Linked DNA regions of Styela clava. The protein of the gene in region 3 binds, or shares a complex with, the protein of the main gene of each other region. Links are inferred from orthologs where the notes say so. Each region holds a gene or a part of one and is shown on either strand. Other genes may lie near its edges.

Region 1 (11,196 bases), on a different chromosome or scaffold from region 3:
AACGATTAACAGAATAACTTGTTCTTGGGCTGTTCAATAAATTACCCACATTAGTGGGATTTTCTATCTTACTTTTGGAAGATCTACACGTGTCTATTAAAATAGATACAAAATACGAATAATCAATCCCCCACCACAACTTCATATTTGATATGCGCATAGATATGTCAGAATACCTTTAGCTGGGTTGAAAACTCCGCTTGTCTGAGTTCCGCATACAAAACATCGTTTTGATTTCTTATAATGATCCAGAGCACATTTTTCGCAATAATAATGTTTGCACCTGTAAATTTATAACAACAAAATTGGCATCGTTATTTTCCTCCTGATCACAATATTAAAAAATTAGTAGTTTTTAAAATTTCATGACCCACGGCCAGTGGTGGGCTTCAAAATTTTTGTAAGCCGGTTCCTTCCCAAAAGTCATATTTTCCAGCCGGTTCTTTTATAAACAGAACATTGACAGTAACCAGTAATGCTAACCGGTTCGCTGATCTCATAAAATTCCGTGAGAAGGTTCTATAGAACCGGCTGACTCCCACCACTGCCTACGGCCACTTTCCAAAACTCATCATTTGCATGTCCCAGCTATTCTATAAACATAACTAGTTTTTTTTTTTCAACACAGCTATATCACAAATGGTACAGGGTAAAAGTCTTTGCTCTAAGCTGATTGCCTTGAGTGATACCCCGGGCAGGGGTGGGCAAGGTTTTTTGACCTTGGGCCAAAAATTTGCCACTCAGATTGGCAGGCCATGTAAGTGTGACGTCAGAAAAGTTATGAACAGTATTTACAGTGTTACAAACGAAAAGGTTGAAAATAAAAAGCCTCGTGCCAAAACTAAATATAATCGCAATCTCAACAAATTCCTTCCTTCTAAAAACATCAACTTTAGTTGTAGCAGCATCAGCGGGCAAGATTGAATTTCCCAATGGACCTGATTTGGCCAGCAGGCTGTAGTTTGCTCATGTCAGGTCTAGCAGCTTATGTAACTGAAAAAAAGAGCGTAGACAGACCTACATCAGTATTGCTTTTAACAGTACTAGAATCATAGGCCCCAAATCATCATTGCCAACCCATAAATGAGTGGATGAAAATAAATTGGTATTGCTTTCCAACTTACTTGGTAACGATTGGGTCTTTGAAAGTATTCCGACAAATTAGACATTTGAATGGTAAATCTTCATCATCGCTTGATACTTCCCAATTTTCATCATCGTTTCCACCATAATGTCCCTCAGCCATCTCTCTTTCTAGCTGCCAACCATGCTTGTAATCACTTCGATCATGGAGAAATTTACAAGAATCTGAGAAAAGGAAATTGTTCCTAAATTTTGATACTGATTTGTTGAACTGAAAATTAGCTTTAAACATTCTTATTTAAACAACAATTCTATTTCAGTAAGGTGAGTGCTGGAAATAAGTCATGAAACCTGAGGTTTAAGAAACGCTAAACTGAAAAAGATATCTGTTTTTGCCTATTGTTATGGTTGTACATGATTTGTTATTAGCAAAAAGCGTTTTGTATACCACCATCGGTGTTGCGATCAGAAATGAATCATTACTTGATCCTTACCTCCAAATCCACAAAACCCAGTTTCTTTGTAATCTTTACAAATATCTGGTTGATAATCCCATCTGACTGTTGCTCTTAAATGTTCTGGAGCACGAATTGGACCTTTTCTAACATTTCCTGATGCTGCGTTACCAGCTGCAGTGTCCTACAAAGACAAGTCAGAGATAAAAAACAAGTCCATATTCATTGAATATACCCTTATTCATTCAAAAATCAGTCTACATATGGAAAACTGAAAATGGCATGAAAAAACAATTTTAACATTAGCTCCTATTGGAAATGAGGATCATATATTCACATTTTTTCCTTTATCATGAAAGTGGCATTATTATTGATAGGAAATTTTTCTTGGTTCTCATCAATATTCGAATATGTTCTGATTGGATCTCTCGGACAAGACTAGACCACAACATTATGCCAACGACTTATCGCCTGTGAAAGTTGTGCATCAACTGTGGGTTTCAAATGATTAGATCAATTCGCAGTCTTTCTGAGATTATGTCGAACCTTAAAATGCAGTTTATCTGAATAATAACAGGCATACTAGTTGTCCCTCAGCCTGACTACATAAGGCATGATTCTATTGTAGTGACAAAAGAAAGCTTGTATATGTATTATATTAGAAATAATGAAATAGATACAAGCATTGTCAATTCATACCTTTGGCTTGATAAATTGCCTATATCCAGCTTGCCCTCTGTATAAATTCTCAGATGCCTCACCAGAGTCAATTTTGTCTTGAATTTCAAGTCCACGTTCAAATATGGCTTGTGCATCCCTGTCTTTTTCTGTGTCTAGTTCATAAGTCCTTGTTGCTCCCATATCATCAGGTCCTGATGGTTTCTAAGTGAAATTTAAAAAAAAAAATGACTGAATCATAAGCTTCTTACAAAGGAATTGTCATTCTAGCAAAAGAGTGTACTTGATTAAATATCCTGATACGGGAGCGGTGCATAGTGCTAAGAAATGAGTACGTACTCGTCATCGCACCTCTGATTACACTGCAGATTTGAATGAATCCTGTGGGAGACGACTATGTGTGAGAGGATATTTAGACATATGATTAAATCGTCTTTCCTCTTACCAGGATAATTATAATGGAAGTCCTGCCCAATTGAATCAACTAATTATAGTGCAGAAAAGGTAGGAAAGTACTACTTAAAAAAGTCTGCAAGAATTGAATTTTATTCAAATATAGGATAGGATTTACATATTTATACCGGGGTATATAGGGGTCATTTTCAATTTTCAGCCAGGTATATAGTAAACTGGTAAGAAAACGAGTTAGTTGTTGTAAATTTATTACTATGGACAAGCCTAGTAGCGACTACTTGACATTCTAAGTAGGTTCTTTGACAATGGCTGACATGAAATAAATACACAAATCATATTTAAAACAACTTACAGCAGTCTTCGATGATTTGTAGGAAACACTGATTTTATTTTTATCGTCATCAGAACCTTCACCGCTACTACTGCTACTGTAATCTACTTTTTCTTTTGTGAACTTCGCACTCTGTAGATAAAAACACATTTTATGATATTAAAGGTTTCACTTGCTAAATTGTAGAACCTTACATAAAAGAATTACGGGAAATTAAAAAAAATCAGAGTCCAAAGTCAATTACTGAGTCGGGTCTCGCTGGCATTTAGTTGATAACTCCGAGTCAATTTCATTCAGACGGCTTTCCGTGGCTTATATAAATGGTGATTGTGTCAGGGACTCGGGTCTTCCAACATTGTAAATTATATGGAAGTGATGATGAATGAATGATCATTTTGTTTCATTCAATTATACAGACTCCACCGACTCCACCTGGCGTATCGATTGTGCTTCATCTGTGATAGAATAGCTTCATAAAAACATGACGATAATTTCTTGTACAGAGATGAATCCTATGACATACTGTGATACAAGAACAATATCTGAATATATTTACAACACCAAATTTCTGGGCAGTTATAGGTAAGACAGGAAAAGGTGGCAGGGCGATGTCCTATCCTAACCCAACACAGACAGAATCGAATAAAACAAAGCAGAAAATGAACGGCGGGGCAATGACAAAATATTACCGATCTATCTAACTACTCACCGATTGAACCATTGGATTCATCTTTCTCTTCTTCTCTTTCCTCACAACAGTTTCCTGGTCTTCTTCATCACTACTTTTTTTTTCAATTTCATCACCGCTGTCTTTTTTCTTTCTTCTATTCCTACCACGAAACTGCAAAGTGAAAATTTTATAAAGAATTAGGTTTTCGTGTATTACATTTTTTTGAATCAAAACTTAGTAAAACCGTCTAATCTGAGCGTTTTGTACAGTTTATGCTTTTAAGATGACAACACCTATTGCTAATATAACTGATTAAAAATAATAGTTATAACTGTTAGAAAAACACTTCTGAGTTCTGAGTCACACAAGTTCGGAGCATAAATGAGTAACCAAATTCAGAAACATTTAGAACACCAAAAACATTTTCTGATTTTAGATGAGTTATTCGAGAACTTGGATAAATGGACATATATTATAATTAAGTGCTGTATGGAAATATGTGCTTCAGGTAATAAAAAAATTTTGGTCAAGAAAATGATCAGTATATAGGAAGACTCATCTTGAACCCGGTAGAAAGCGACAATATTCTCAGATTGAAAACTAGAATTAATCGCAACTAAGGCTTTATCCTTGATTGGCAAATTAAAGTAAAATTCGTAAAAAAGAAAAGCTGACCTTTCCGGATTTCTTGAACATGTTTAGTTTTCTTCTTTTACACACTTTCTAAAGTTTTATTGTCTGAAACTTGACCAAAACCATCGCAACCCGCGCTTCGCAACGTTTGATTTACAACTTTCAGAGAAATTACTGCAGAGCTTAAAATTAACAAAATTTGTTTTCACTATTATGATGTCACACTTTACTCAAGTGACCGTGGCACGTGGTACACAGCTGATCTGATTCTGTGTGATCTCACTTCCCCAGCTGAATTACTGGCCCATCGGCAGCTCCTTTGGATATTTTGATTTGAAATATTGGTGCAGAGATGGGGAGAACAAATCAACTTCCATATAATTTACCGCAGCTTCAAAATTTAATCAAAAGAGATCCGGTTTCTTATCAAGATGAGGTGAGAGTACTTTAATAAATAAATTATCGTATCTACAAGACGGCCTAAGCTTCGCCCGTGAATTTTATTTCATCGTTTTAAGGTATGCTGTTTATGAATTTATTCTTTTCAGTATGATTGTGTTGATCCATGTCATGTGTTTTTTCACTTGTGTGGTTGAATTGGCACAAATGTTACAGCGTTTGCTATAAACATTTCTCTAGTTTTTCCCATTCTCCCGATCTTCCTGTCGTCATTGTCTGTGTATTTTATTTTTGTTTATTCATGTTCTGTGATGTAGACGAAAGATCAAAATGAAGTTGTACTGTATCTACAATGTCTATTCCGCACATCATGACATTAATACCTTCTGTATTTATCGCAAAATAATGTATTAATGGGCAGATTTGGGTACTGTGGTGTTACAATGCTGGATAATTTTAAGCTGATCTGATTAAATTTGTTGTGATATACCATCAGGATATACATATCTAGTCAAATATTTGTATTATATTTATGTTAACAGTTCGAGCAACAGTATCGGAGATATCAATCCAATATGAAATTGTTTCTTCTTCAACCAAATGAAGAATCGAAAGATCTATCGGAACTCATAACATTTATCGGCCAGGTCAGCAGGTTGTTTTTGCATGTTCTTGTTTATCATTTATGTGTATATTGCATATCGATAAATCTTGTATTCACTAGCTTGTTGTAGCGATAATTCGACATAGGCTGTGATGATGTCAAATTAAATATTATCAATACAAGAATAAATCCAAATTTTGATTTCGAAATGACCATTATTTTAACTCAAAATGGAAGTTTCTGGTGTCGGTGTGAATCATATCTATCAATTTTACTGTTATTTATGAAATTTTCAGAATCGATGTGCAGTGACTTTTACTCAAAAGTTTAAAATTTGCTGAAACTTTGACTTGACTTGAGATCAGATGACCCGTGTGACCTGACTTGATTTGAAACTTGGGGACTAGGGACTTGCACCCAACAGATTTAATTTATCTTAGAAAGAATTATGACTTGTAATTCTAATTTTCAAATATACATCCTCAGTCATCACCATCCTGGAGTTGCTTTTTTGGTAAAGCAGTAGTAATCCAGTCTCAATTCTATCATTATCTGATGTGCTGGCATGTTGAGGTTTTTATATACTAATGTTAAATTGTTATTTTTTATATTTAGGTAGCTCATTGCTATCGAGAGTTGGTAAAAGATTTTCCCAACCAATTACAAGAAATTCTTCAGAAACATGCACTCTCGATAAACCATGAAATGAGACTGGTCAGTATATTTTTAATGTTGATTATCAAAATGTAAAATTAAATACGCTTGCTATTCGATAAAATTAATTTTGTTTAAATATTTCAGAATTTCTGCAAAAGTTTGATGCTTCTTCGAAACAAGGATCTTATAACACCACATTCTTTGTTTGAATTATTTTTTGAGTTATTGAGATGCCCTGACAAACTTCTTCGTAAGGTATATGTGGATTTCATATTACAGTAGTTACTTGGAAATACTTGACAAGGTCCGAATAGCTATGGTTAAATTATTTTTAAGTTTTCCCTCATTCCCTTGTACATTCTGTATTATCAGGCACTAGTAGTCAAGGAATTGCTCAAGTTTAAAATATTCTGATTCAGCTTAGCTATACAAACTATTTTCTGTGTTGCAAACGGACATCCAAAAATTTCATTCATATTTATATTTACAGTCTTACATTCAATTCTGGATTGGGTTATTATAACTCTTATCTGAACAAGGCTCTAGATAAGCTACTTTTATGAGAAGATCTAGCTATTACATTCCACAAAGACTGGATTCGGCAATCTGCATACGGAATTTATCATAGAACAGTAGACTTTGGTTGAAGAATTTGTTAATTTACATTAAGTTACTTCTTTGTATATTTTATTAATTTCAGACGCTGTATAATTTCATAGTTCAAGATATCAAGAATTTAAATCATAAGCATAAGAATAATAAGTTAAATAAGGTAAGTTGAATTCACTTAAAATTTCATGTCAGTTTGAATGGCGTGTTCAACTACAAACTATAGATCTGACATGGGCAACTCACGGACCTCGGGCCAAATCCGGCCCGTTGGGTAATTCAATCCAGCCCTGCTGATGCTGCCACAACCAAACTAATGAGGAATTTGTTGAGATTGCGATTGGATTTGGTTTTGGCACGAGGCTTATTGTCTTCCACCTTTGCTTTTGTACACTGTAAATATTGTTGTAACTTTTCATGTCACACTTGATGGCCTGCCAGTCTAGGTGGGCATCCACACCCTTATCAAAAGCTTTTAGTTCGAATAACTTATATAGCCCACTGTAATTATTCTTATATTATATCTGAATAGGTCTGAGCTCATGATTTATAATGTCTGTAGCAATTTTTTTCACCCGAAAGAAAAAAAAATGAGTAGAATGACTTGTATATTAAAAATTGTTTCTATGTAGAGTTCGAATCCCGCTTCAGTAGACCTCAACCTCTTTTGTTTATGTTTTCCTAGGCGCTACAAAATTTCATGTACACAATGTTATCAGACAGTAATGCAATTGCGGCAAAAATGTCGCTTGATGTTATGACAGAATTATACCACAGACAAATATGGAATGATACAAAAACAGTGAATGTGATTAGCACAGCATGCTTTTCAAAGATTACAAAGGTTTTTTTATTTGATGATATATTAATTTAACATTATTTAGCGGTGTAAAACATAGTTTTGCTATATTCGAATATCGTTTAAAAAATAATGTTTAATCAAACACCTGTTAGTTGGCCCATCAACTTGGCTTTATTGCATTGGCATCATATGCTATAGGTTCCTATTCAGTTTGCAATATTTATCAAAATACCCCCTTTCTCACCCAGAGTATGAAACAAATCAGATTTGTAAAATATTTTGTGTTTTCTCAAACTTAATTTGGTATATATATTTCTCATAAAGAAAAGTGTGAAAGTCAAATAAACTTTATATACCTGTATTACGCTATAACAGTATTTTCCCCGTTACATAGGTAGGTGTGTATGAGAAAATTATATTAATTTTTGATCTAAATGTTCCTGCTGTTTTTAATGTACAATCCAGGTTTCATCATGCGCTCTTCGATTTTTTCTTGGGCAAGATGAAATGAAGAGTAGAGTCGAAGATGATTCAGATTCAGATAATGGCGAAGTAACAGCTAGAGATGTTCTTATAAGGTTGGTGTGTTTATAATTGGTTCAAATCTACTTAACGTAATAGTTAATCTAGGAGTATTAACAATATTGTTATTTTTGCACCATATTTTTTAAATATGACAAAGCTATTCATTTTATGTCCATGTCAAACTCAATCGCACCATTTCACCAAAAAATACAAGATTGTATTGTAATAGCTGAATTCCTAAGGGTCTATATCAAGGGTGGGCAACTCTAGTCGGCGAGTCAGATGTGGGAGAATGAAGTCCTCGGTGGGCCGGATCATTACAAAAAATACTTTGGTATCCGATCTTTGTTAAATGCTCTGCTCAATCTATGTTAAATGTTTTGCTCGACACTCTCTGTCAACTTTACGTTTTCTTGATATATATATTCCATGTTTAATAAATCTTAATATAAAATCTAATTTCTAAAATCTATTTATATTTAGAATCTAAATATAACTGATAACAGTAGTGGGGAATGTTTACAACGCTCTCTGCTTTGACCTTTTAACAAGTGTGCTAACTTAATTGTTTGTTCACTAGGACAATTGTTTATTTCACCAGCTCGCACTAACAGTGAGGTGAGAGTAGAGCGATCGGTAACTTTCAAGAATGATGCGTCGGACCACATTACAGAGTGTGGTTGATACAGTCAGCAGGCCGGTCAAAATCTCGTTGCGGCCGTATGTTGCCCACCCCTGGTCTACATATAGGCTATATATATGAATGGTTATGCTTGAAAAAATATCAATAAAAAAAATAATTTTGCAATCATTTTCGCGATTTTTTATACACTAAACTAATTACAAGTAGAGTAATTGCAACTGATTACAGCTGGGTTTTTGCCTGTAATTGTACAAAAACTTCAGGCAAATTTGTTAAACATCAGGTTACATTGGTTAAATTTATTTTTGTATATGATTGCAGGCTTGCAGCATTATTATGTATTAATAATCATTATTTATAAACAAAATTAGAATTTGATGGTATGCGAAAAAAATCCATCGACAATCGTAAATACAATTTTTTCTGTAAAATATGACTTTTTTCAAAGAAATTAGGAAATGCTAAGAATATCAGTGAAACTTTCATTTATTTGTTTGCAATTTGCATTACATGATTATTCAATTGCATGATATCATTCAGGTTTGGTGTAAATAAGAAATCAACAAGAGCTAAAAAGAAAAGAGATAAGGCGTTGAAAACATTGGGTAAACATAAGAAGAAATTGAAAAAACAAGCAACTGATTTTTCTGCAGTTCATCTTCTGCATGATCCTCAAGGTATATATACATTCTTAGTTCAAATTAACACGAAGATAGAGTAGTAGCTGAAATTGTAGAATAATTATTACTTTATTATCTCTTACACAAAATGGTTTGTTTTATACTCATTGTCTTGAATTGAACGTTTACGTTATGCAAATTTTTAGTTTTAAGCTAATTCAAAGTTTCCGCTGGCAAGTAGACCGAATGGTCATTTTGTGGATATCCTGTCCATTCTGTGCAAAGGCATAAATATATACAAATATTTCGTAAGCTGTCTTGCATTCATTTCATTGTGCTTTTCCTAATTGACAAATAAAAAACGATTTGATTGATTGAATATCCTGCCTTTTATAGAAGATCTATTGCTTAGTTCTCAAGGATTCTGAATTTTCTTACTTGATGTAGCTATAAAAATATGTATAATGCACATTCATATATCTGGACTGATAAATGGAAGAGAGAATGTGGTTTGCCATAGCATAGGTTAAAGCCGTCTTGTAAACTTTCCTCTCATCCCAAGGATAAATATGGAAATTTTTTTTCTCCTCCATCTATTGGTCACAATCCCCGAAAAATTCTCGTTATCTAATATAAAAGATAAAATATCTTAATACCAACTAGAATCAAATTATTATACAGCTAAACCAAAATTGGCCATACAAATCTCCATTGAAATTAATTTTAACTTCTACATATTTGTAACTGCATTTTACAGGTTTTTCCGAACGTTTGTACAAAGTCCTGGAAAAGTCTACTGAAAGATTTGAACATAAACTAATGTTGATGACGGTGATCTCTAGAATTATCGGAATTCATGAATTGTTTCTGTTTAATTTTTATCCTTTTCTACAAAGGTTTTTGCAACCACATCAAAGAGGTTAGTTCTTATTTTTTTTCCTTTTTTATCTTATATTAATTTATTTGGGTTCAGATGTCAAAATAATTTTCTTAGAAGTGATTGAGAAATTCATGGGCTTTGTTTTTGGGCCCCTCATTATTTAGCCCATTATTGCCAGGTGTTTGAATTCATTAGTTGATGAAGGATTATAAAATTTTGTTTATCGCGGGTATAAGGTAATTTTTTAATTAGTTTTCTGCTTATTTCAGAGGTTACAAAAATGTTGTTATGCGGAGCACAAGCTAGTCACTCCCTTGTTCCACCTGAAATTTTACATCCACTACTTATGACTATTGTTAATAATTTTGTTACTGAACGAAACTCAAGCGAAGTTATTGCTGTTGGGTAAGTATTATTTTTTATATAAATTAAGTATTGTTTGAGATATTTTAAAAATTTAGCACAGTGGACATGACCAAATCATTAAATTCCATTTCAAAGTATCGCAAACTTTTTTTTGTATAACAGCAAACCTACTGTTGAAAAAGGCATTTATGTCAATGTAAATAAGCATAAAATACTCGCAATTTTCTGACGATCTTGTATTTAAATTTGTGTATTGATCTTTCAAGATTGAATGCTGTCCGAGAGATATGTTCACGTTGCCCGCTTGCCATGAATGAAAGTTTATTACAAGACCTTGTACAATATAAAACATACAGAAATAAAGCTGTCATGATGGCAGCAAGATCCATTCTACAATTATATAGAACTTTAAATCCAACCATGCTGCATAAGAGGGACCGGGTAAAGTTCTTTGCTTGTTATTTATTTAATTTATGTTTGTGTCAATTATTCAATTTCAATATATTGACTTGTTTCCTGCATGTGTCTGATAGAATAGGAATTATATTTACCCCGGAGGAGAGCAAAGACACTATATATGGAGGAGAGTAAGATTAATATTATTTCCTAATACACACATATATAGTGTTCAGCAATCCTCTCTTACATAATTATCCAACACAAATCCTGCAAACACAATTGGGGTAATCGAAGGTGCCATAGTAGGAGCCAAGCTCTTCCATATATTTCAAGTTATGATACAGTTTATTTTATTTTTTTTTATCTATTATTAATATTACAATTGTAGGGTAGGCCAACTGAAGCCAGTAAAGATAGGCAAGTAGTTG
Region 2 (10,879 bases), on a different chromosome or scaffold from region 3:
TCATCTATTGGCAGGACTGCTTGGTGTCAAGTCCAGAAGTCATCTCGCTTGTGTTTCACTGTTTGCGGACAGCACTTTGTTGATGGTGAGTGATAATGTGCCGTTATCAATTTTTTTAAAATATTCATAAGCTTCTTCATTTCAATGGAAAGCAGATGACAAACTACTGTTATTGGTAGGCCTAGGCTACTTGCCATCTAGGAATACGCTCGCCACCGCATCTCTGATCACCCTGGTAGTTTCACAGGTTCCAATCCCATGCGGGGATAGTTATGTGCGAGAGGATTGCAGCTCCACTCCCACTGAGGGTGGTTAACACGACCACTGATCGGTTACGACCATCCCCCACCATCCAAGTCCATGCTTCTGAAAACAAACAAAAATATCTGGCTAACTAATCCCAACATAGAATGGTAATCGTACGAGAGACTGTGGACTGTCGTACGAGCCCAACCATCCCCCCTCCTTTCCTAAAGGTGCTTGTACAACTGACCCAAAATGTCTTTTTATTGTCATTGGCAAAAAAATATATGCTACCCGGAATCAAATTCATTTACGGCTAGTGTTTGTGGTGGGATATGGACATAAATTTCACACCACTTGATCGTTAGATTTTATGAAAACTCTACAATTATTACAAAGCTAGTGCAGGATCATGATATCGAATGAATCTGTATCCATTATCTTACAGATATGGGTGCGACCATGGAATAGATGGATGGCAAAGTATGAGTTGCAACAAGACCACAGCTTGCGTGACTTGATGATACATCCTCAGTATCCATTTATTGATGCTTATCGTAATGACAAATAACTTGTGATTACTGTGGATTGGTGGAGATAAATGTCCATTGTGCTTGAACGAAAGCAACTTCAATACGACCCGATCAAGAAATTTTTTTTTGTTTCGGTGGGTCTGGTAGTGAAGGTTTCAGTCTAAAGTTGGACACCGATACTACAACCAAATACAGTTGCAAATGAAACTTAGTGAAGCGTAATATTGCGAATTTGTGATCTGAAAGAAAATTCTGATGGGTAGCCGGCTAGCCGCAACCTTTTGTTTAAAGAATATTATGAGATATGACTTAAGAGTCTAAACTTTTATTCGAGAGGGGTGTAACCCACGTTAATTTGCATATGGTAACCATGGTACCAAATGTATCACAAACTTTACAGCAATCATAAATTATATTTGAAAAATAAAGCACATCAAAAGTGTATTTTTAAAAAACAATTGGTTTTATCTGCAGATACTAGGTTTATATTGAGATTGACCATTTCAATGCTAAATTTTCCTCAGTCAAAAGGCACACTTGATTCGCAAAGATTTGTGAATGCGCACAGTACACCAATTTGTCTAATGTTTTGATTCCATAGGCAGGAGGTTGTGAATCGGTGCTGCTCAAGATGGGATATTTCTGCTTATAAATGCATATTACGTGTTTCACATGAATACATCGTGCTCAGATTCGACTGTTTCCAAGGTCTAAAGGCTCCAACTGCTTAATTTTATCGGTACACAAGAGAATTTTCAATGTGACATGCATGGGTCAGCTGGAGTCACTAACATGAAGATATCTATAAGCAAGGATAAGATAACCTGGAAGTAACATTCCATAATTTAGAGTAAACAAGACAGCTACGCCCAAATATATGGACACGTCTGTTCGCAGTACAGTACGGTTTACCGTACCGTCGATCAGCGTAAGGAAAAAATCGTAGCAAAGTACCGTAAGGACTTCGTTACGAACCATCGACGTTCGATGTCACGTGATCAAAAAGAAGAGGAGTGTCGTCTATGCGTCCGCAGAACGTTCGGTGACGTCATACCAAACAAAAACAAATCTCACAGAGCTAACAGAAATATTTGAAATAAATAAAAGTAATGGCCTTCTGGAGAAAAACTTCATCTTTAACCAGTAAAAATTTCGAAGCAATCGGTCCAGTAATGAAAGAGAAAAGCGGTTTTTTAGATTTCCCACTAGATGTCCAAAAAGTTTCAAAGAACAACAATAGGACCAACATAACATTGAAACGATCGTTATGTCCACTACGTGTCCGAAAATGGATCTGCCTCCACAGCCCTTTCAAATGGAAGATATGACTCTTTAGGGGTAATTTCTATCAAATATTTTACAGTGTTATGGTTCCAATGAAAATGGGTATAGGCGGCTTCTTTTAAAGTGTGGTAGGTCTAGTCGAAAGACACATTAAATGTTTATGCTAACAACTGCAAAATTGCAACGCATATAAGTTAACAGAATTTGTTGAAATGGTCCTGCATTTTGCCTTTCTTTAAAATCCCTCTTTTTCTAACTATTCTTTTCCTCTCTGGGGATGGCGAAAATTCAAATATTGATGGCTTTTATAAGCAGCTGATAATGGGTTCTCTTTCCTTTTTCCTGAAAAGAAATTAAACACTAATCATCAATTGACAGTGCCAAGTTTGTGTATCAGATCAGTAATAGATTACCTGCTAACTAACGAAACAATCAGACAACACCTTCTGACCATTAATGAAGATTTCTTTTAATGTGAAACGCAAATATGCCTACCAATATCGGTAGTTTTTAGGAAAGGATTTATCATGGGGGGAGGATTGCAAGGTGCAACATCGTACGATTACCATTCTGTGTCGGGATTAGTTAGTCAGGTATTTGTTTTCAGAAGCATGGACTTGATGGTGGGGGATGTCGTAATTGACCAGCGGACGTGTGAACCACCTTCAGTGGGAGGAGAGCTGAAATCCTCTCGCACAAAACTATCCCCGCATGGGATTGAAACCTGTGAAACTACCAGGGTGGTCAGAGATGCGGTGGCGAGCGTATTTCTAGATAGCGAATTCAATTGAATTCTGGTTATTTTTTGCATGAGCACTGACTGGTGTTGAACTTTAGTTATCTATTCAACTTTTCACACTTACTAATAGATTACCTGCTAACCAGGGAAACAATACCTTATGGCAATTGATGATTTATTCCTTACACAAGTCAAGTCTGCAAGTAGGCCTACCAATAACAGTAGTTTGTCATCTTCTTCCCTTTGAAATGGGGAAGCTTATGAATATTTAAAGAAATTGATAACGGCACATTATCACTCACCACCAACGAAGTGCTGTCCGCAAACAGTGAAACACAAGCGAGATGACTTCTGAACTTGACACCAAGCAGTCCTGCCAATAGATGGTATCTTTTGAAAAAGTGGAATATAACTGAAGATCCATTTCGTTGTCTATACTATACATACAGCCAACGGTACAATACGAAATAACCATTTTCCACACCCAAACAAAACGGAAACGTATAATCCGACCTGCAACTGACAGGAGCCAACTGGACGTTTTTGTTTTTCTGCCGTCCAGTAAACAAAGTCACGTGACCCGTGCAAGTCCTCTATATAGCTCTGTGTTTTCAATGGACGTGTGCCCGAACCTTGACCCCTCAAAAATTCTCCCTGTATTTTGGAAGTGTTTTGGAGAGTTGGCGCTTACAAACTGGCTCACATGTTTGCAAACTATTTCTATTCAAAATCTTGAACCACGTGCCACTTACAGGCACTGATAGCTAATTTTAGGCTTGCCTATCTTAGCGTTTACGGTATCAATTTTTGATTATTGCAACTAAACTAAAGGTCCTCGGAGTATATCATGGCAATTAAGGTATCTGATGTACAGCTATTATTTGGAAACACAACTGAAAACTTACACGAAAACGAGGTAATGTTTACAACCATGCTTGAACAATTCTAAGCGAAAGAAGTGTCTCAGTGGCTGCAAATTGCAATTGTACGTCACTGTTAATTTATTTTCGATTGGTCACTTTCACGCAAATAAAAAAAAGAAATTGATTTTCATCCATACAGGCAGGGCCGAATCATATGGCCTTTTGGAAGCCATAAGCACTTAAAAATTTGTTGCCTTATATGTAAATGATAATAATAGGTATGTAACTAGTGGTGGTGGTGGTAACATTGGTGCCTTAAGCACGTGTTTATTTTGCTCAATGGTTTATTCAGCCTTGGCTACAACATCGCTGCATTATTATACACTCACAAATCTGTCAGCATAATAGAGGGCGCTCCGGAGGTATTCGTGCCAAGATGACGCACAACCTTAACAACCCTAACCTGGTACCCATACTATGTCCAGGTTGTGCGCCATCTTGGTACGAATACTCCGGGATCACCTAATAGAGCAGGACTATGTCACTATATAGAGTTAGTCTCGCGTTGTGAAACTAATACTTTCAGTAAAATCGAATATTGACAGTATTAGAGTTACAGTTAAATGCAATTTACACGTTTAGCGACTGACGCTTTTTAACAGTATTGAAGTTTCTGTGAAATGCTATTTATACGTTTAACAACTGACGCTTTGTAACAGTATTGAGTTATGGTGAAATGCTATTTAAACGTTTTACGACTGACGCTTTTTAACAGTATTGAAGTTACAATGAAAACTATTTATATAAAATAACAAGGGGGCGCAATGGGAATTAATTCCCAATTGTCGTGCGTGGACCACCACATTGAATTATCTGACAGAAGTAACTTTGTTCAATTCTTTTTATTGCAAAAGTATTCAAAAAAAAAAGTTTCTAGCTAGCCTATGTGGGCTCGATACCGGACCAATATTAACTGTTGGGTCGTCAGACCGATTCGAGTTATTTCATGATACTGCGGAGTCATAAAAATTCGACCATGGAAATTGAAATTTGTGTGGTGCTCCCTTTCCCTTGCTGCCCTAAGCACGTGCTCATTTTGCTTAATGGGTTATCCGGCCCTGCATCAACAGCGTCATCATGCAAACAAGAGAGCTATGCTCAAATATATGGACACGTAGCGCCACATAATTTTGATGACATCATAGCAAAAAATAAAAGTTATAGACTTCTGGAGAAAAATTCCATCTTTCACCACTGAAAATTTCAAAGCAATTGGTCCAGTAATCGAAGAGAAAAGCGGTTTCTTCAAAACGTGTCGATGAACAAGAACAACAACAACAAAACGATCGTTATGAGAAAGAGAGAGAGAGAGAGAGAGAGATTTATTGATTTGTCAACCGGAAAACAAACAATGGTATACAAATTAATATATACAATATACACAAAGTTAATTTGGTATAGACTGGGAGAGCGATACGACCATAAGGTCATCGGAGTCAGCTACCCCCCAAGTTCACTATTAAGATTCACAGTTAAACGAATGTCCACTAAACGTGTCCAATAATGAAGACGCTTCAAAACGTGATCATTAGCCAATGAAAAGGATTCATTATTTTATCACCCACAGATAATAAAGTCGATGAGCGGCTGGCCAGCCCGATTTTTCTTTATTTTCAAGAAAGTTTTGCAAATTAAATTCTTTTTGCCTTTCACATTCTGTGGATTGTATATGGATGGGAGCCAAACAGTGACGCAATTTAAAATTTAGAAAAAATTCCGATTCTATTTTGTACCAAACTCACTAACAACAGCTTCGCTCATTTCGGATAGTGAATGTATCTCAAGGTTTAAGAATGGGTTCGCTTACTATCACGACATTCTAAGAATGCGTCGCTTGAACCCCCTGAATCCCACAACTTGATATCATTAAAATTGTTTCGAAATTATAAAAAAATTGTTATTGACTTGGGCCAAGTTTACAATTTTGATCAAATTTTGCCAATTCAAGATATCTTTCTATGAAGGTTTCATATTTATATATTTTTTGTGCTCAAATTATCAAAGATCGCATGTAAAACAAGAGGCCAGCAACACATCCAAATAATCTTTCATTGAGATTTTTGGAATCATAACTTCACAATGGTTTGTGATCAAACGCCTTCCATCTGATCTGGCTTTTATTCCTACCAAAAAAAAAAAAAGAGTTTGATATATAATTGCTATTTTTCCGTCGATAAATCGGAATCACGACAATAATGAGTAAATTAGAATTGAAGACTGTTGAAGAACTATAGGAAAATTTCTCCACATGAGAAGCTGAACGGTAAAACGTCAGTTTCAAAAAATAAACTTGCACACTTTTTCCAGACGATAACAAATAAAATGTAGGCTATTGGATCAATTATTTTTTAGATTTAATTCAAAACAATAAAAAAAAACAAATTTTATCCAGATTAATCGCTTGTACTTTTTGGGAATGTCCACAAGTTTAAGATTATGTGACCATTTTACGTTATATATATATTTCCATTGTTATTGAGAATCATAAACTCTACGATAGTGCGTTGGAAATGCTCAAGCAGGCTACCATCTCTTTGAGGCACTTTTCTTTCGTACAATTTTGTACTCACGCAATTGCTCACTTGTTGAATTCAAAATCTCTATCGACGGTAGAAAGTAATATGACGTTTGAATTTCAAGACAGCGTTATAGATCATGTTGATTGTGTATCTATAGTTACTTTTAGTGTTCGTGTTGAGTGAGACCATCTGTATTTGAATCTGAATTCTCTTATAGTTTATTTTTAAAAATATGTGCTTGATATGGAAGTTTCTTAAGTAAACCTGCTGTTATTAAATGATAGTTTTAATTTCAATACGTTATGGACTACGTTATCGGGTTATAAACAGTGCCGGCATTGAAATATCAGCAGACACTTTTTTTCTCAGACTGCAGGACATAGCGATTTTCGAGAAGAAGTTTTTCCGCATAATGATGTTTATCAACCCCCTTTTTATGACCCGTTGCAATCGAATAGCATCCTATACCTATTACTGTGCTCGAAATTGTTTCAATTGACTACATGCGATAAGGAAACTCAGAACAAAAATGTAACAATATTTAACGAGAATATCGGTCAGAGACCGAAGACTTATCGATCGAAAGTTAGGGGATCCCCCAAAACAGCGCTCCTATTCCACACTGACACCTTGTGTCCCATCACTAATTAATTAATAACTCGCTAATTATACGACCTAATTCTTCCAAAATCAATAGGCTTCTGATCCGAGATATGATGAATGCATATGCAAAATTTGGAGCGGATTCATCCTCGCTTTCGTGAGATATCGCGTGTATCTAACAGACAAACAAACAAACAAACAAACAAACAGACAAAATACCTATCAACATACTTACCGATCTTAAGATCGATAAGTAATAATAACGTATGGTTAACGTAACTAAAATAAAATGTAAACGACATGTCAATGAACACGGAATGAAATAAACAAAGTGGTTGTCGAAATTTAGTTTCTAATTTAAATTAAAATTTCAAAACGATCCATTTTTCCTTTTTGTCTAATAAGGCTGTTTAAGCAATGACCGGCAATGACCTAATAATATCGTCATTTAGGTCATTCGTTCGAATATTTTTCACAGTTCCGATGAGGCAACGAGACGCGGACGCGGGAAAAAGGCTTTCCTTCGGTGTTGCTTTTGCGCATTGTCTAGTTGTGACCTCGCCGTGTTAGTTTCAATTTTTATCTCGCTGAATACAATTGTTTGGCACATAATTTCATTAAAAATGTCTATTGGAGTTCCAATCAAAGTACTTCATGAGGCGGAGGGCCATATTATCACATGTGAAACCGCGAATGGAGAAGTTTATCGTGGAAAACTCATAGAAGCTGAGGATAACATGAATAGTCAAATGACAGATGTAACTGTTACTTATAGAGACGGTAGAACAGCACAGTTGCAGAATATTTACATCCGCGGAAGTCAAGTTAGGTTTATGATTTTGCCTGATATGCTTAAAAATGCTCCGATGCTGAAGCAACAACGCGGTGGTTCTGCCGGAAGAGGAAAAGCGGCTATTTTGAAAGCTCAAGTTCGCGGCCGCGGAAGAGGCGGATTCAGCAGAGGAGGCGGTGGTTTCAGGGGCCGTGGTGGATTTGATTCTGCCAGCTTCCGTGGACGTCACTAATCCTTGGATAGAGTTGAAAAAAGTTATTGGCCCAAGTCTTTTAGATTTTGTTGGAGCTGCTCCCACCGCCTTTCAATCTAAGCTTCTGCTATCCACAGATCCATGCTTACTGTCTGTGATTTATTCATTTCTGGTAGGCAGCTGATGTATTATATCATTCCATTATGTAGTTCTGGCTTGTGGTAAATTATTGATTGTTTTTAGTGTGACTGGATGATATTAATATCTATACTTATGTCCATTTTGGCATGATTATTTTATAATGATCCAGAAAATGTGTAAATTTCAATTTTTGAAGTTTGGAATGATAGTCTACCAAATCTTAAAATATTAGGTAATACTCAATTTCGATTATATTTCTGTTATTATGTACATCATCTTGAGATCCCAATATTGGGAGTGATGCATATGATTTTACATGTTTGTCTTGCATAATATTTGAATTATTTTTCATTCGTTTTGGTTTCTTTTACAACATCTGCCTGCCTGTATGTAAAGGCAGACAGGTGTTGCAATTTTTGGTCTCCAAGTTTTATTCAACCTGGGACAATTTCTTTTAGCATTGCTCGAATGTGATTACTGTTATATCAATGTCTACGAACCAGAGCGAATTTTAACACAAGTTGAATTTGAATAATATTATTCTTGATCTGTGCATTATATTTCTTGTGATGTTAATTTGCTGCTATTAGCTTCATTATTTCAGTCTGCTAAAGTCGGCATTATGTCTGTATGTTGTTGGTACCTTTTTTTGATGCCACTTTGGTATGTAATCCCAATGTCTGATCTTAGAGATTTTTGAATTATCCTAACCCTAACCCAGTGATGACAGACTTGGGATTAGAAACTGAATTCTATGCGAATTTCTTTATGAGATTAAGTAGTTTTATGATTCGAAATCGCATACCAAAGTGGCATCCTTTTTTCAATCATGATAGGCTAACGATACGTTGATTTTGTTTAGTGTGGATCTGGGAATATAACTTTGTCAGATTTTGGTTCAAGATTTAAATGGGTCCAATTTCTTTTTATAACAGATTTGAGTTCTTTTGGTATTGTGGTCTTGACATAATGATGGAAACTGTGCCTCCGACTCCCACAGCTGAGGAACGAAAAGTAGTTCAGGAATTTGGTGATTTATTGGAAGCTTCTAAAAATCTTTTCAATGGACTCCGGTAATTGAAATTCAACATTTTCAATAAACATTTTCAAGCATATCAAATACAAAAATCAGGATTTTCTGCAAAATCCTTTGTGACAGTTTTTCCAGATTGAAAATTTTGTGGTTTGAACACTTGTAAGGATAATATATATGAACGATTATTTAGAATACTACTTGACAATTCGTCTTTCCGAAACTGCAGTTGAAACGTAAGGGTAGAATCGTACACATTTAGAATCCATAACCCCAATATCCTGATTGATTGATCTTGTCACACTTGACCAGATAATTAAAGGATATGGTATGTATTTGTTGGTAATATTTTGTTCTTGCATTTCAGAGATCTACCTCAATATGGGCAAAGACAATGGCAACCATATTTTGCCAGAACTTTTGAGACATATACAAAGTTGTGGAAATTTCAACAAGAAAACAGGTTTATATTAATTCATTCTATGCTAATTTTGAATCCTTATTCTTGCTGTCTCAACCAGGGTGACCTAAACTACATAGACTATGCAGAAGATTTCTGGGCGGGGGGTGTTCTGAAAACTCCGTAGCTCTTTTTGTATTAGTGTCTTTCCAGACCAAACGTGTGAAAAATCGTTATAATATTACAGACTGTTCAGTTACACACTTTTTATAAGATGATATGTGCAACATTACATAATGTTTTTTACTTATTTTCAGACTGGTTTTAGACAGTGTATATGGATTGAAACGATGGCAAATAGGTGAAATTGCATCAAAGATTGGGCAATTATATTATCATTACTAGTAAGTGCTATTTAAAAATAATTTCCTTTAATGTAGTCGCCAAAAAATCATAGTTTTACAAAAAACTTATTGAAGTGGTATTTCAGCCTACGAACGAGTGAAGCGAATTATCTAAATGAAGCCTACCATTTTTACTCTGCAATAAGAACAAGGAATTATTACAAAAATGCACACAAGGAAGAAAGGTATCTTCGTTTGTTCGTGTGATTTGGGGGTTTATTAACTTGCATTCTTAATTAAGTTAATGTCATTTTGTTTCAGTTGTTCTGATCTGTTGTTGAAGAAGCATCGATATTATGCCAGATTCATTGTTGTTTGTTTATTACTTGATTACAAGCAGGATGTTTATAATCTTGTAATGGTAAGTTCTGTAGTGGTATGATGTTTATTTATCGCATGAAAAAAAATTATGCTTTTTTCATAAACATATGGCCAAAAACATTTCCAATATTTGATATTTTTGAACTTGGTTTTGTTGATAAAAAGTTTACATGAAACCATGTATGGGAGGATTGAGAATAATAGATATGTTTTATTTTTGATGATCTATATACCTTATTGGTATAGCTTCCTTTGTGGTCAATGATATTGTATATATAACAGGGCTCTTCAAACTGCGGGTCCCCACCCCGGTCGCAAAAGGGTCCAATGGGAGTCGCATTGTCAGAACTAGCCATGTGAGAAATCTTTTTCGACACCAACTTATGTTAAAACAAAATATCAATCAAATTCGAACTATTTGGAACTGCGACCCAACATTACCGAAATAGAAACAAGATTCGATAGTTTGTGCGAGAATATGCAATAATATTTGTTTCATTAAAAATTTTTGGGGTCGTGAAGAAAAAATTGGCCATGCCAAGTAGATCGCGATGAAAAAAGTTTGAAGAACACTGGTTAAGTGATGGTTAGTTCTAATGCTAATCAAGGCTAAGAACATGCTAAAGAGTTGTCGTTCGTCGCGAGTTATTATTAATTGATTAGTGATGGAACACGCGATGTCGCTATTGAATCAGAGCGAAGGATACATACCGCTAGATCAATAAGTCGGCGTCTCTGATTGCTATCTAG
Region 3 (10,248 bases):
GGACCTTTACTGGGACTTATGACTAAAAATGTGAATTGTAGGAATGACAAAACTGACCTGAGATCCTAAAACTCTATAATCAACAGTTGTGTGTTTATACGTTCTATATGATCTTGGAAAATTGACACCAATTGTTATCACAGTTTCTGGACATTTTATTTTATCATCCTTATTCTTCGCAGGCTTTGATGATAGCTGATTTTCCTGGAAACAAAAACCCAGTTATACCCACTTGAGCCTATCAAACATAAAAATAATTTCGAATTATTTTTTGGCCATGAAGTTCTTCTCGTGGAATCTTCAACCATACTAGAATGGAACCCAAGGGCAACAAGTCAAATGGCTACAGCAGTGGTTTTCAGCCTTTTTGTTAATGCGGAACACAAATGAAACATTTCAGAGGTTCGAGGTGTTAGTTTGATTGTCTGAGTTGTATAAACTATAACTACATATAAAACCGAACCTAATACCAGCAAAACAGAATTATTTTGATGATTAAAGTATACCAAGTGGTGGTATGCTATTTGATTACATTTAAACGATTTACAAAAGGAAAAACTTTTTCAAAATTATGCTTTGGCAAATTCCTAAGCACTACAATACCGGGATCATATAAAAACCAGTCATACAAAATACTCTTACCATACAACATATGGAATTGAACATTAGTTTATTATTATATAATAAAGCATTAAATCGAATTATCCTAATAAATAATCTGCCTAATAACAAATTCACAATAAAACTAAAATTCATATCTCTATAAATCATACAGAATGCTAAAATATGAAAACAAAAGAAGAGAATATTCTGAAAATCTTACCAAGTTGCAATCATATTCAGTGTATTTACTCTTGAGAATAATAGTTTTCTTTTCTAGATTCCTCGTTTTATTCAACTTTATCCATGCCTTCACAGTATCCAGTCCAGAATCAGTAGGAATAAGCTTGACATCTTCCCAACGATGGAAGTTTTTCTCTCGAGGACATTCAAGCTTATTTGGACTAAATTGCACAAAAAATGTATGCTGACGTATTTCTCAACATGAGAGAATTACTGGTATATTACTTACAGTGCATCAAAAAATGTCAACTGTCACAGAAGACAATTTCTGTGTAACAGACGAAACCAAGTCACTGCATCATCAGGTTTGTTGCCATATATGAGATATCATTCAAAATTGACCTGATCAAACGATTTCTAAGATGGGGTTTTGACTATTGAGGATAGAAAGCAGTTGCCTATATCAGTTTAGAAAATTCAGTTAGAAGAATTTGCTTTTTTACTTGTGAAGTCTCTTTAGCAACACAGTACTTGGTAAAAACCAACCTACAAACTTCCATCAACTCGGTTGCAGTTTCAACATTCGTGTTTAGATCATGAGCAACATCTTCTGGTGTGTCTGATATTTTCTTATCAATGTTCATGTGAAATTCATCAAGTACTTGTGAGGCATCTTTCTGAAACATAAAATTAGGTCATAGTACACAAAATGGAGAATGTATGGAATATTGCTAGTCCTTTTCTAATAATAGTTTACCTTGAACTGCCCGATATGGATTAGTGGTGATATCATTCCCATTGCTTCAGATACTCTGATGCTTACATTTCTCTTCTCATTCAATATTTTTGACATTTTGAAATAGGTAATTTACTTTCTTATTCTAAAAATATTTTAGTTCATAACTGGGGTGATTATGGCGTGAAATGGTAACCATAATCATATAAAACTAAAACCATATTATTCCATAAAAAATCTACAGGTTAATCAATAAATAATTGTTACATTTAATGTTTTCATTCACTTTATGGCATTTTATAATTTATTCTTTTCCTGTGATGACTATGTTCTATCAGCTTCAAGAACATTTCTAGAGATGAGATTGCCATTCACCATTCCCTGAATATGATCACATATTATTTGCTGACCCTTTTTCAGCAACACTCTGGTTATCGCATATTCAGTTCAAAAATATATCAACGTTGGACAACTTTAACTGTTCCAAAAGTCAAAACAGATGGCCATAAAAGAATTCATCTCCTATGGCGGTGGTGTCTGTCACTATGATGATGATCACGACGAGAAGATTCATTTCTCCTGCTATCTCTATGCCTCTCTTTACTACTGTCTTTTTTCTTTTTATCATTCTCTCTTCTCCTTTGATTTAAAGGATTTCTGGGATCAGTGATTTCATATCTATCTTCATTAACATCTCTGTTCATATCCTTAGCATCTCTAAGTTCATGGTCGACATTCTTAAATTTATGATTCATCCATCCAACAACATTGAAATTGTTGTCATCATCATCTTTAGCTTCATCTTCACTACTCTCTTCTTCCTTTACCGCCAACATCTTAGAACGAAAGCTGCCCAACATTGCAAGTGTTTGCTGTTCTCGTGACAATCCTTTCTTATTTGTTCCAACAATTTTATCCCGATAGATTTTCTGTTGAGCTTTATATTCAGCAAACATTTGATTTGAAGATGCAGTATTAGTTTCATTGTCACTTCCAGATGATGAATCAACTTTTTCAATATTTTCTTTAGACTTTCCTGCTAGTTCTCTGGCAAGCATTCTGGACTCGTTACGAAGTTGTTTCAGTTTTTCATCCTTTATGTTTTCTTTAGAAATCGTCTTTTCAGTTGTATCAGACCTATCTATTTTTGCCCTTTTCGCTGCTGTAAGTTTGTCTTTTATTCGTTGCCTAGAATTCCTTTTTTCTTCTTTTCCTGAAGAAGACTCATCAGTAGAATCTGACGATGAAGACTCACTTTTGTCTCTGTCTCGTTTACATGTTTCTTCATTATCATTTTCTTCAAGTTTAGAAATAGCTGGTGCAGCACTCAATTTAGGATCTTTTGCCAAGTCATGACTACTTTTTGAACCTTTGAAGGCCAATTCAATGGATTCTTCTTCATCAACCTCTGCTTCATCCCCAAAGGATAATAATTTGTAATCCTTTGTGGCACGAGATTGACTCTTAGCCTTTGTTTTATCATCTTTCTTTTTCCTATTTCTCTCAGGCTCTACTCTGGGTTCAATGTCATCAAATGGATTAGCAAGAACTTTTGTCCATTTTATCATTGGGGGATTTAAAGGTCTTTCATTTTCATCTACATCGACCTCACCAAGCCTAACCATGTTATATACAGTATCACCCGTAACTTTAGCAAATATTGTATGTTTTTTGTTCAAATCATTACATGGACCCAGAGTAAAAAAAAATTGGCTAGCATTGTCATTTGGACCAGCATTAGCCATCGCCACGAGTCCTCTTCGAACAAAACGTAATCTTTGATGCAGTTCATCTTTGAAAGGTTTACCAAAAATGGATTCACCACCAGATCCAGTCCCAGTAGGATCACCTCCCTGGACTATGAAACCTGGCACTACGCGATGAAATATAACATTGTCATAATATCCCTCCATACATAATTGCACAAAGTTTCTGCATGCTATAGGTGCCTCTTTCGACCATAATTCAATATCAATATCCCCAAGTGATGTATGCAAAAGAACTTTGCCATTGGTTGAGGGCTCTTTAATGTAAATGTTGCTCATTATAATTATTTATCTGTGAAAGAATTCAAATAATAGTTAACAATAAAACTGAACAAGAAAGGATGCCTAAAAACCAGGCCTTGTTTACTATGGGATTACCACATAAATAGAAACAGGTTGAATAAAATAAAGAGAATGTTTTAAAAAACAAAGGTTGTTGCCCAGGAATCTGGTGCTAGAGACCACTAAATCAAAATAATGATTTGTAACTCTTATGAGACCCAATTATGTAACTAAACCTGTCATGATGACAAAAATGAAACATGGTTTAGAACAGGGGTGGGCAAGGTTTTTGGATTCGAGGGCCAAAATTTTTGCACACCTAGATAGGCGGGCCATGTAAGTGTGATGTAAAAAATTACATTTTTTAAACAATATTTACATTGCCATAAAAGCAAAAGTGGAAACAATAAGCCTCATGCTGAAACTAAATTGATTCACAATCTCAACAAATTCATTAGTTAAGCTATTTTCAGCTAAAACACCAAAATTTTAGTTTGGTTGTGGCTGCATCAGGCAGGCCAGATTGAATTACCCAACATGCTGGATTTGGCCCGCGGGCCGTAGTTTGCCCATGTCTGGTTTAGAATCATTTATAGAAATCAATTATAGCAATCAGTGCGAACACCTTCTTTACGAGACAGTCTGGGCCTCCATATCAGCACAAATCACCAACCTGACACTGCACAATAACTAAAAGAATACGCAATCTAAAAACATCAACATCACATTCTTCGGAAAATAATAATCCAATTTACTGGAAGAAAAAAGAATTTTATCGTAGCATTTGACAGTTTTTAGCAGAAAAAGACATTTTTGGTCACATTATCAAATATCTATCATCACATTCACAACACATAGGTATATATCGCAACAAATCTACCTAATTATAAAGAATTAAGCAATTGCAATTTGCCGATATGCATAAACATTTTCTGGTTCGGTGTTTAGATTAACACACCGTGATTTCAAGACGTGAATACAGGAGTAGCAGATTGTTCTCATTTTTAGCTTAGTGTGGTAATGAATGTGATACTGCAAAGTAACTACGTTATGATACCCAGTAATAGGAAACTGACAAATCTTTAACCAAGTTATATGTAAATGCCTTATCGCACAGGCGTATAAAACAAATTGAATATTCAAATACATTCACAATTCATTATATTCAATATAGTAAATATTTGAATTTTAGATAGTTGGGAACATTTTCATCAAAAAATTAGGAATTTTGAGTCATCAGACATGTAGATCAAAACGTATGATATCCCAAGCTAGTAAACAGCAAAAACAATTACCTTTCGTATTTATGTCGTTTTAGATATGATTAACGTGAAGAAGATATAGACAAATGATTTATGCAATCTTTCACATGAACGTGATGATAATTTAAAACATATTCGATATTTCATATTCCTCCCTTCATATTCGTATCCGAAAATATTTTCTCAGAATTTACTTGAAATAATTAAATATAATAAATATATAGTAATATTAGTACACAGAGAGAATCAATGTATGTTATTTGTCACCATAAAAAGCAGAAGTATAGTCTACTTATATTATAATCAAAATATACTTATACTTATGAGTCTTAGACCAGAACAACTGTTTAGTTTGTCTTTAACAGCACCCGTGGGCCGTGGCTAAAATATGAACCTCTTATATTTTTATATAAGATGTATATTTCATAAAAAGGGGGGATATCATTTTCTTATTGCTATCAAAACAAATGCCGAAATAGGCAACGGGTACGGTACCGGCATTCGTCTATGTCTGTATGTACAGAATTGATTCAACTCAATTTTATGAAAAAATAAAAAATGAAGAAAGGAATAGGATGTAGTCTATTATATTTTTTCAGCTGACTCATAAATAACCCTGAACTAGCGCTTTTAACAAATAGACAATTTCAAACTCAAGAGCACAGTCACGCGGAATACGTTTGTAACTTCAGAGCTTACAGCTGGAAAACCTCAATGTTAATATGTTCAGATGATGGAGTTTGAGTCTTATATGGTTTATTTATGACACTACCAAACCTCTATTCAGCTATTCTGGATTGAAGTGTCCTCAGTCGATCACGATGGTGTAAGAAACTGCCCCGGTCATTCAACTGATGCTCTTTTTTTGACTTTAAGCATTCATACATTATTGTTTTGGCGCTGCATGTCAACCTGACACTTGCGGAATGTGACGTAACGTCATGGCTTGTGATTTCGGGCTTAGATTCCACGCCCCCTTTTTATCGAAGGTCTTTGATTTTTTGGGTGCGGCTATTTTCGTTGCAATAATTTGAGTCGATGTATTGTGCCTCTGTGTTACTAGAGAATTATATTTTGTGATAGATAGACTATACGAATGTTAACAAATGGCAGCTAACAAAAATAAATCAAATGCTCAAGCTGCACTTCACAAAGTTATAATGGTTGGAAGTGGAGGAGTTGGCAAATCTGCGCTTACTCTCCAGTTCATGTACGACGAATTTGTTGAAGATTATGAACCAACCAAAGCTGACAGTTATCGAAAAAAAGTAATTTTGGATGGTGAAGATGCTCAAATAGATATTTTAGACACAGCTGGACAAGAAGACTATGCAGCCATCAGAGATAATTATTTTCGAAGCGGAGAAGGTTTTTTGGTTGTATTTTCAATTGCGGAAAAAACCTCTTTTGATGACACCCAGGAATTCAGGGATCAAATATTGCGCGTTAAAGGAGCTGATTCAGTAACAGCGAACAATATTCCATTTATTCTTGTTGGTAATAAGTCTGATTTAGAAGACAAACGTCAAGTCACACAAAGTGAAGCACAACAATTTGCTGATAATATGGGAGTTCAGTATGTCGAAACATCGGCCAAGACAAGAAGCAATGTTGACAAAGTATTTTTCGATTTATTAAAATTGATCAAAGATGAGAAAAACAAAGTCGCGACTGCACAAACTTCAAGCAATAGTCCTGAATCTGAAGACTGTATTGGACGATGCAAAAAATGCTGCACAATTGTTTGATTCCTTATGTCGTCATAATCGCATCACGAAACTTAAGACCATCTGAATGGTAGTTGAAAACAATTCTCTATATAATTTTATTTCAAGACTTGCAGTGGCAAAATTACAACTGCACGTACTTACAGATTTATGTACTTGATCAATGTAAAGCTGCACATTAAATGTGTTTTTTGGTCTTTTAATTTTTTTGAAAAATTTTGTCAATATATGTCAGAGACTATATTCATCTTTCTGCCATAACTCGCTAGTATTTAACTGTTTGAGTACACTATGTCTATGTGCAAACTATTTAAAAATAATGCTACTATTCCATTTTTTAGCATAAATTGTCTTCAAAAATGTTTGAGCAAAGTTGCAGTCATGACAATTTATTTCATGCCCAAACTTTCATATTCCAAAAAATGAGAGAAAAACCATCTTTGAATAGTCACATGTTAACTTTTTTGGAGAAGCAGGACCTTTGTTTATGGCACTAATTATAGTTTGAAAAATTTTGGAAGTCCAAGGACTTTACTATGAAATTACATATTGTTTGTTGCTATTAGGTAAATTAATTGCTATCCAGTAATCAATCACATGTCATAGCATATGATTAAAAGCCTGTAGATGAAGAAGTGGAAATGACTGCTTTTATCCTTGTAATTTATGATTCCACAATTTTATCTATAACCTCTGCTTTCTATTTAATTGTATTTCAATTCATAATTTGTTAATACTTCATATCATATTAACCTGCAGATTGATCTTGTTCTTCCTGTAGATAATTTTTGACTTAATTGAGGCTATGATATTGTAGAAAAATTGTAGTGTATTCTCAAACTTTTTGCTCAACATCTTGAAATGAATAAATATCACTGGTAAAGACACTGGTGTGACAATCAATCTGCACTCAGCAGTGATACTCCTTTAAAGCTTCTGTGAAAAAATGCTGTCTGTGTGAAGCATACCTTAGAATTCTAAAGTTGATTATATTATGGTTATCTATATCTTTAAATTATTCTTCCATACAACGAATTATTCTGTGTCTAATTGAATCCTTTGGGACCGATTTGAACATTTAGTATGATACTGCTTAATATCTCGGTATCCAGGATATTTGCTATGTTCTAACTTAACTGAGCAGCTTATCATATTTCATGAGCTCACAACACAATTCCTTTCTGGAAATAATGTCATTCTAATGTAAATCATGTACAGCCATATTCACCAGTGCTTCAGATTTATGTAATAGCCTGACATTTAAATATTTCGAACACTTTTCAAAATATTTGTCCAAGTACATGATTTATGTGTTATTGTTTTTATCTGAAGTTGGGAGGTGCATTTTATGCAATAGCTTGGGCTTGATATTTTTGATTTCGCTGTTTAGTGTACAATAAATATTATTCCTATTATTAATATTACCTTGTGGTTTATTGTCTGTGTATAAATATGATTTCTTTGTTCAACTTGGTGAATCTTACAATTCTTTCGACCTGTAAGAATATGTCGAGTTTCTATATTTTATTAAATTTTCTGCTAATTGTTGTTTTATTGTGTTTTCGCATACTCTTTAGATTATTGATACATGACATTTTTTGAAAATCATTGACAATGTCAAAGTTGAAAAAAATTGTTGAAGAAGCGAAAGAGTCAAGATGTCGAGAAGTTGATCTCAGTGATAAAGGGATTCAAAATGTGAATGAAGTTCCCGGGCTAAGTATGTAAAATCTGTCCAGATTTGAAAATAGCGTTGAATGTTTTAGAAACATTACTTTTAGAGGTGGTTTTTATCTCCACAGAAGTATATATATCTGATATGACGGTATTTTTTCCATGTTACATGACCCGTGGTGGAAGATCCTTTGTTATGTTATATTTGAATACTTGTAATGGAAATGTTGCGACTTGAATGCCATGATTGGTTGAATTATTCAAATTTGAAATTTTTTTGCCTTGTTCATGCAATTTTAATATATTATATTGCAATATCAAATTCAATGAATTTTTATATTACATGATTTATGCGAAGTTCTATCTCAAACATGACCCAATCTATACTGCATTCAATATTCTAAAATACTGTTTTAGATCAATTTGTAATAGTTTCTCTGCTAGTATGCCTTTTTGGATTGTTTTTCTCTATTTATGTTATTTATTTTGCTTCTGTTCACAATGTTTTATTTTGTGCTATATTTATGAATGTCCTTAAGTGTGCGATGTAGAGATGTCTGAATAAGTTTGATCAATTCGAAACCAATATAAAGGAGGACTTTTATGCCAACTCCTACTTCCAACTGCAAAGTTGATGATGTTTGCCAGATTTTATAGATGTAAAATTTGACATTTCTCATGACATTTCTTTTGTGTTAAACTAACATGAGAAACTCTTGTGGTGTTTATGAGATAGAAATATTTATCTAATTGGGTCTTTTTGTACAATTCTTTGTTGAACCAAATTCAAATATTAACATTTTTATCTCAATTATTATTGTATTTAACTTTTGTTTTTCAGTGATGCTGGACCATTTGACACAGTTAACGATGAGTCACAACAAATTAACTGCAGTTCCACCAAGTATCGGAGAACTTGCAAATTTGTCTATTTTAAATCTATTCAACAATTTGATTGAGGAATTACCCACATCACTCAGTGGAATGCAGCAATTAAAGCATTTGAATTTAGGGTGTGTTACCATGACTTGTATTTGATATCCTTTGTCTATTTTATATCTTTTGTCAACTCTCAACAAAACCAATATTGAGTGATCGTATCAGTGAAATCATGACCTAGTGATAATTATGAAGATAATTATAACTTATGTATCTAAAATGTAAAATCACTTCATTTCCATCTCTCAGGTCTCCTATACCTTTTTTGACATCTTTAAAAAGTCTTTTAAATTTAAATTTTAAAGCAAGTATCCACATTTTTTACCTGAAAATTTTGTCCAAACCAAACAAAATGATGAGGTTTTTCTAGAGACAGTTTAGAAAGTTGCATCTTTAAATCATACTGACAATATTATAGTTTCTATTTGCAAATTTGAGCATTATACACAGAATTCCATGTAAGATATTCTTGCCACTTTTGTTTTGCTATTTTGTCTAAATAAGTTACGTTATTGAACAGATACTGTCCGAAGTACCTATACAAGTTCACGCTTCCTATATATAAAGCCATATGACTCATAATATGAGTACTAAATTAGAGATTATTGGACACGAAGTGGGCCTATAGATCATTTTGATATTATGTTGTTAGAATTATTTTAGTTGTCCTTATGGAAAAATCGCCTTTTATCAATTACTAGACCAATTAATTGCCTTAGCATTTTCAGTGGTTAAAGATTTATGTTGTCGCTACAAGGCTATTACTTGTATTTTGTGGCTCTTTGGGATTTGATTGAAGTGTGTGTAGACGTCATTGTTTTGTTGCCTAATCGCTATCTGCCCAGAATAGAAACTCGCATACAACTGAAATCCGTTTGAGAACAGCGTCACAACTTAATAATAAAACTTGAAACAGTGATCATAAACAAACGTCTACACGTTAACAGGACTGCATAACGTCTGGGAAGCCAGACGGATAGATGAGATGTGGTGCGCTGCAACAATTGAAAGTTGTCACGCTACTCATCATTTGAGTAATCACATTACGTCACTGTCATTAAAATGAAAATGGTGCACCT

Evidence for each region. Proteins that work in one complex are often made in the same cells at the same time.
Region 1: spliceosome-associated protein CWC27 homolog (region 3) and E3 ubiquitin-protein ligase RNF113A-like share a complex: the UniProt entries of both Homo sapiens proteins name them as parts of the minor spliceosome. The link is inferred for Styela clava from reciprocal best matches to the Homo sapiens genes CWC27 and RNF113A.
Region 2: spliceosome-associated protein CWC27 homolog (region 3) and small nuclear ribonucleoprotein Sm D3-like share a complex: the UniProt entries of both Homo sapiens proteins name them as parts of the minor spliceosome. The link is inferred for Styela clava from reciprocal best matches to the Homo sapiens genes CWC27 and SNRPD3.

Annotation. Positions count from the first base shown.
Region 1 is NC_135251.1:22,357,128-22,368,323, forward strand, and holds the start of E3 ubiquitin-protein ligase RNF113A-like, read right to left. Parts: upstream 4,473-11,196; 5' UTR 4,328-4,472; coding exon 4,307-4,327; intron 3,803-4,306; coding exon 3,671-3,802; intron 3,094-3,670; coding exon 2,983-3,093; intron 2,421-2,982; coding exon 2,238-2,420; intron 1,723-2,237; coding exon 1,578-1,722; intron 1,309-1,577; coding exon 1,125-1,308; intron 284-1,124; coding exon 177-283; intron 1-176. Other genes in the region: protein SDA1 homolog, read left to right, coding at 4,617-4,700, 5,206-5,310, 5,883-5,981, 6,069-6,179, 6,625-6,696, 7,219-7,377, 7,801-7,913, 9,044-9,180 and 4 more. UniProt on the Homo sapiens protein: Required for pre-mRNA splicing as component of the spliceosome. As a component of the minor spliceosome, involved in the splicing of U12-type introns in pre-mRNAs. E3 ubiquitin-protein ligase that catalyzes the transfer of ubiquitin onto target proteins.
Region 2 is NC_135254.1:11,359,335-11,370,213, reverse strand, and holds small nuclear ribonucleoprotein Sm D3-like, read left to right. Parts: upstream 1-7,341; 5' UTR 7,342-7,467; coding exon 7,468-7,869; 3' UTR 7,870-8,880; downstream 8,881-10,879. Other genes in the region: protein SCAI-like, read left to right, coding at 8,881-9,044, 9,372-9,467, 9,722-9,808, 9,895-9,993, 10,070-10,169. UniProt on the Homo sapiens protein: Plays a role in pre-mRNA splicing as a core component of the spliceosomal U1, U2, U4 and U5 small nuclear ribonucleoproteins (snRNPs), the building blocks of the spliceosome.
Region 3 is NC_135257.1:11,147,447-11,157,694, forward strand, and holds spliceosome-associated protein CWC27 homolog, read right to left. Parts: upstream 3,588-10,248; 5' UTR 3,565-3,587; coding exon 2,035-3,564; 3' UTR 2,033-2,034; downstream 1-2,032. Other genes in the region: snRNA-activating protein complex subunit 3-like, read right to left, coding at 58-204, 824-1,004, 1,330-1,460, 1,541-1,636; ras-related protein O-RAL-like, read left to right, coding at 5,936-6,577; ras suppressor protein 1-like, read left to right, coding at 8,171-8,276, 9,072-9,243. UniProt on the Homo sapiens protein: As part of the spliceosome, plays a role in pre-mRNA splicing. Probable inactive PPIase with no peptidyl-prolyl cis-trans isomerase activity. As a component of the minor spliceosome, involved in the splicing of U12-type introns in pre-mRNAs.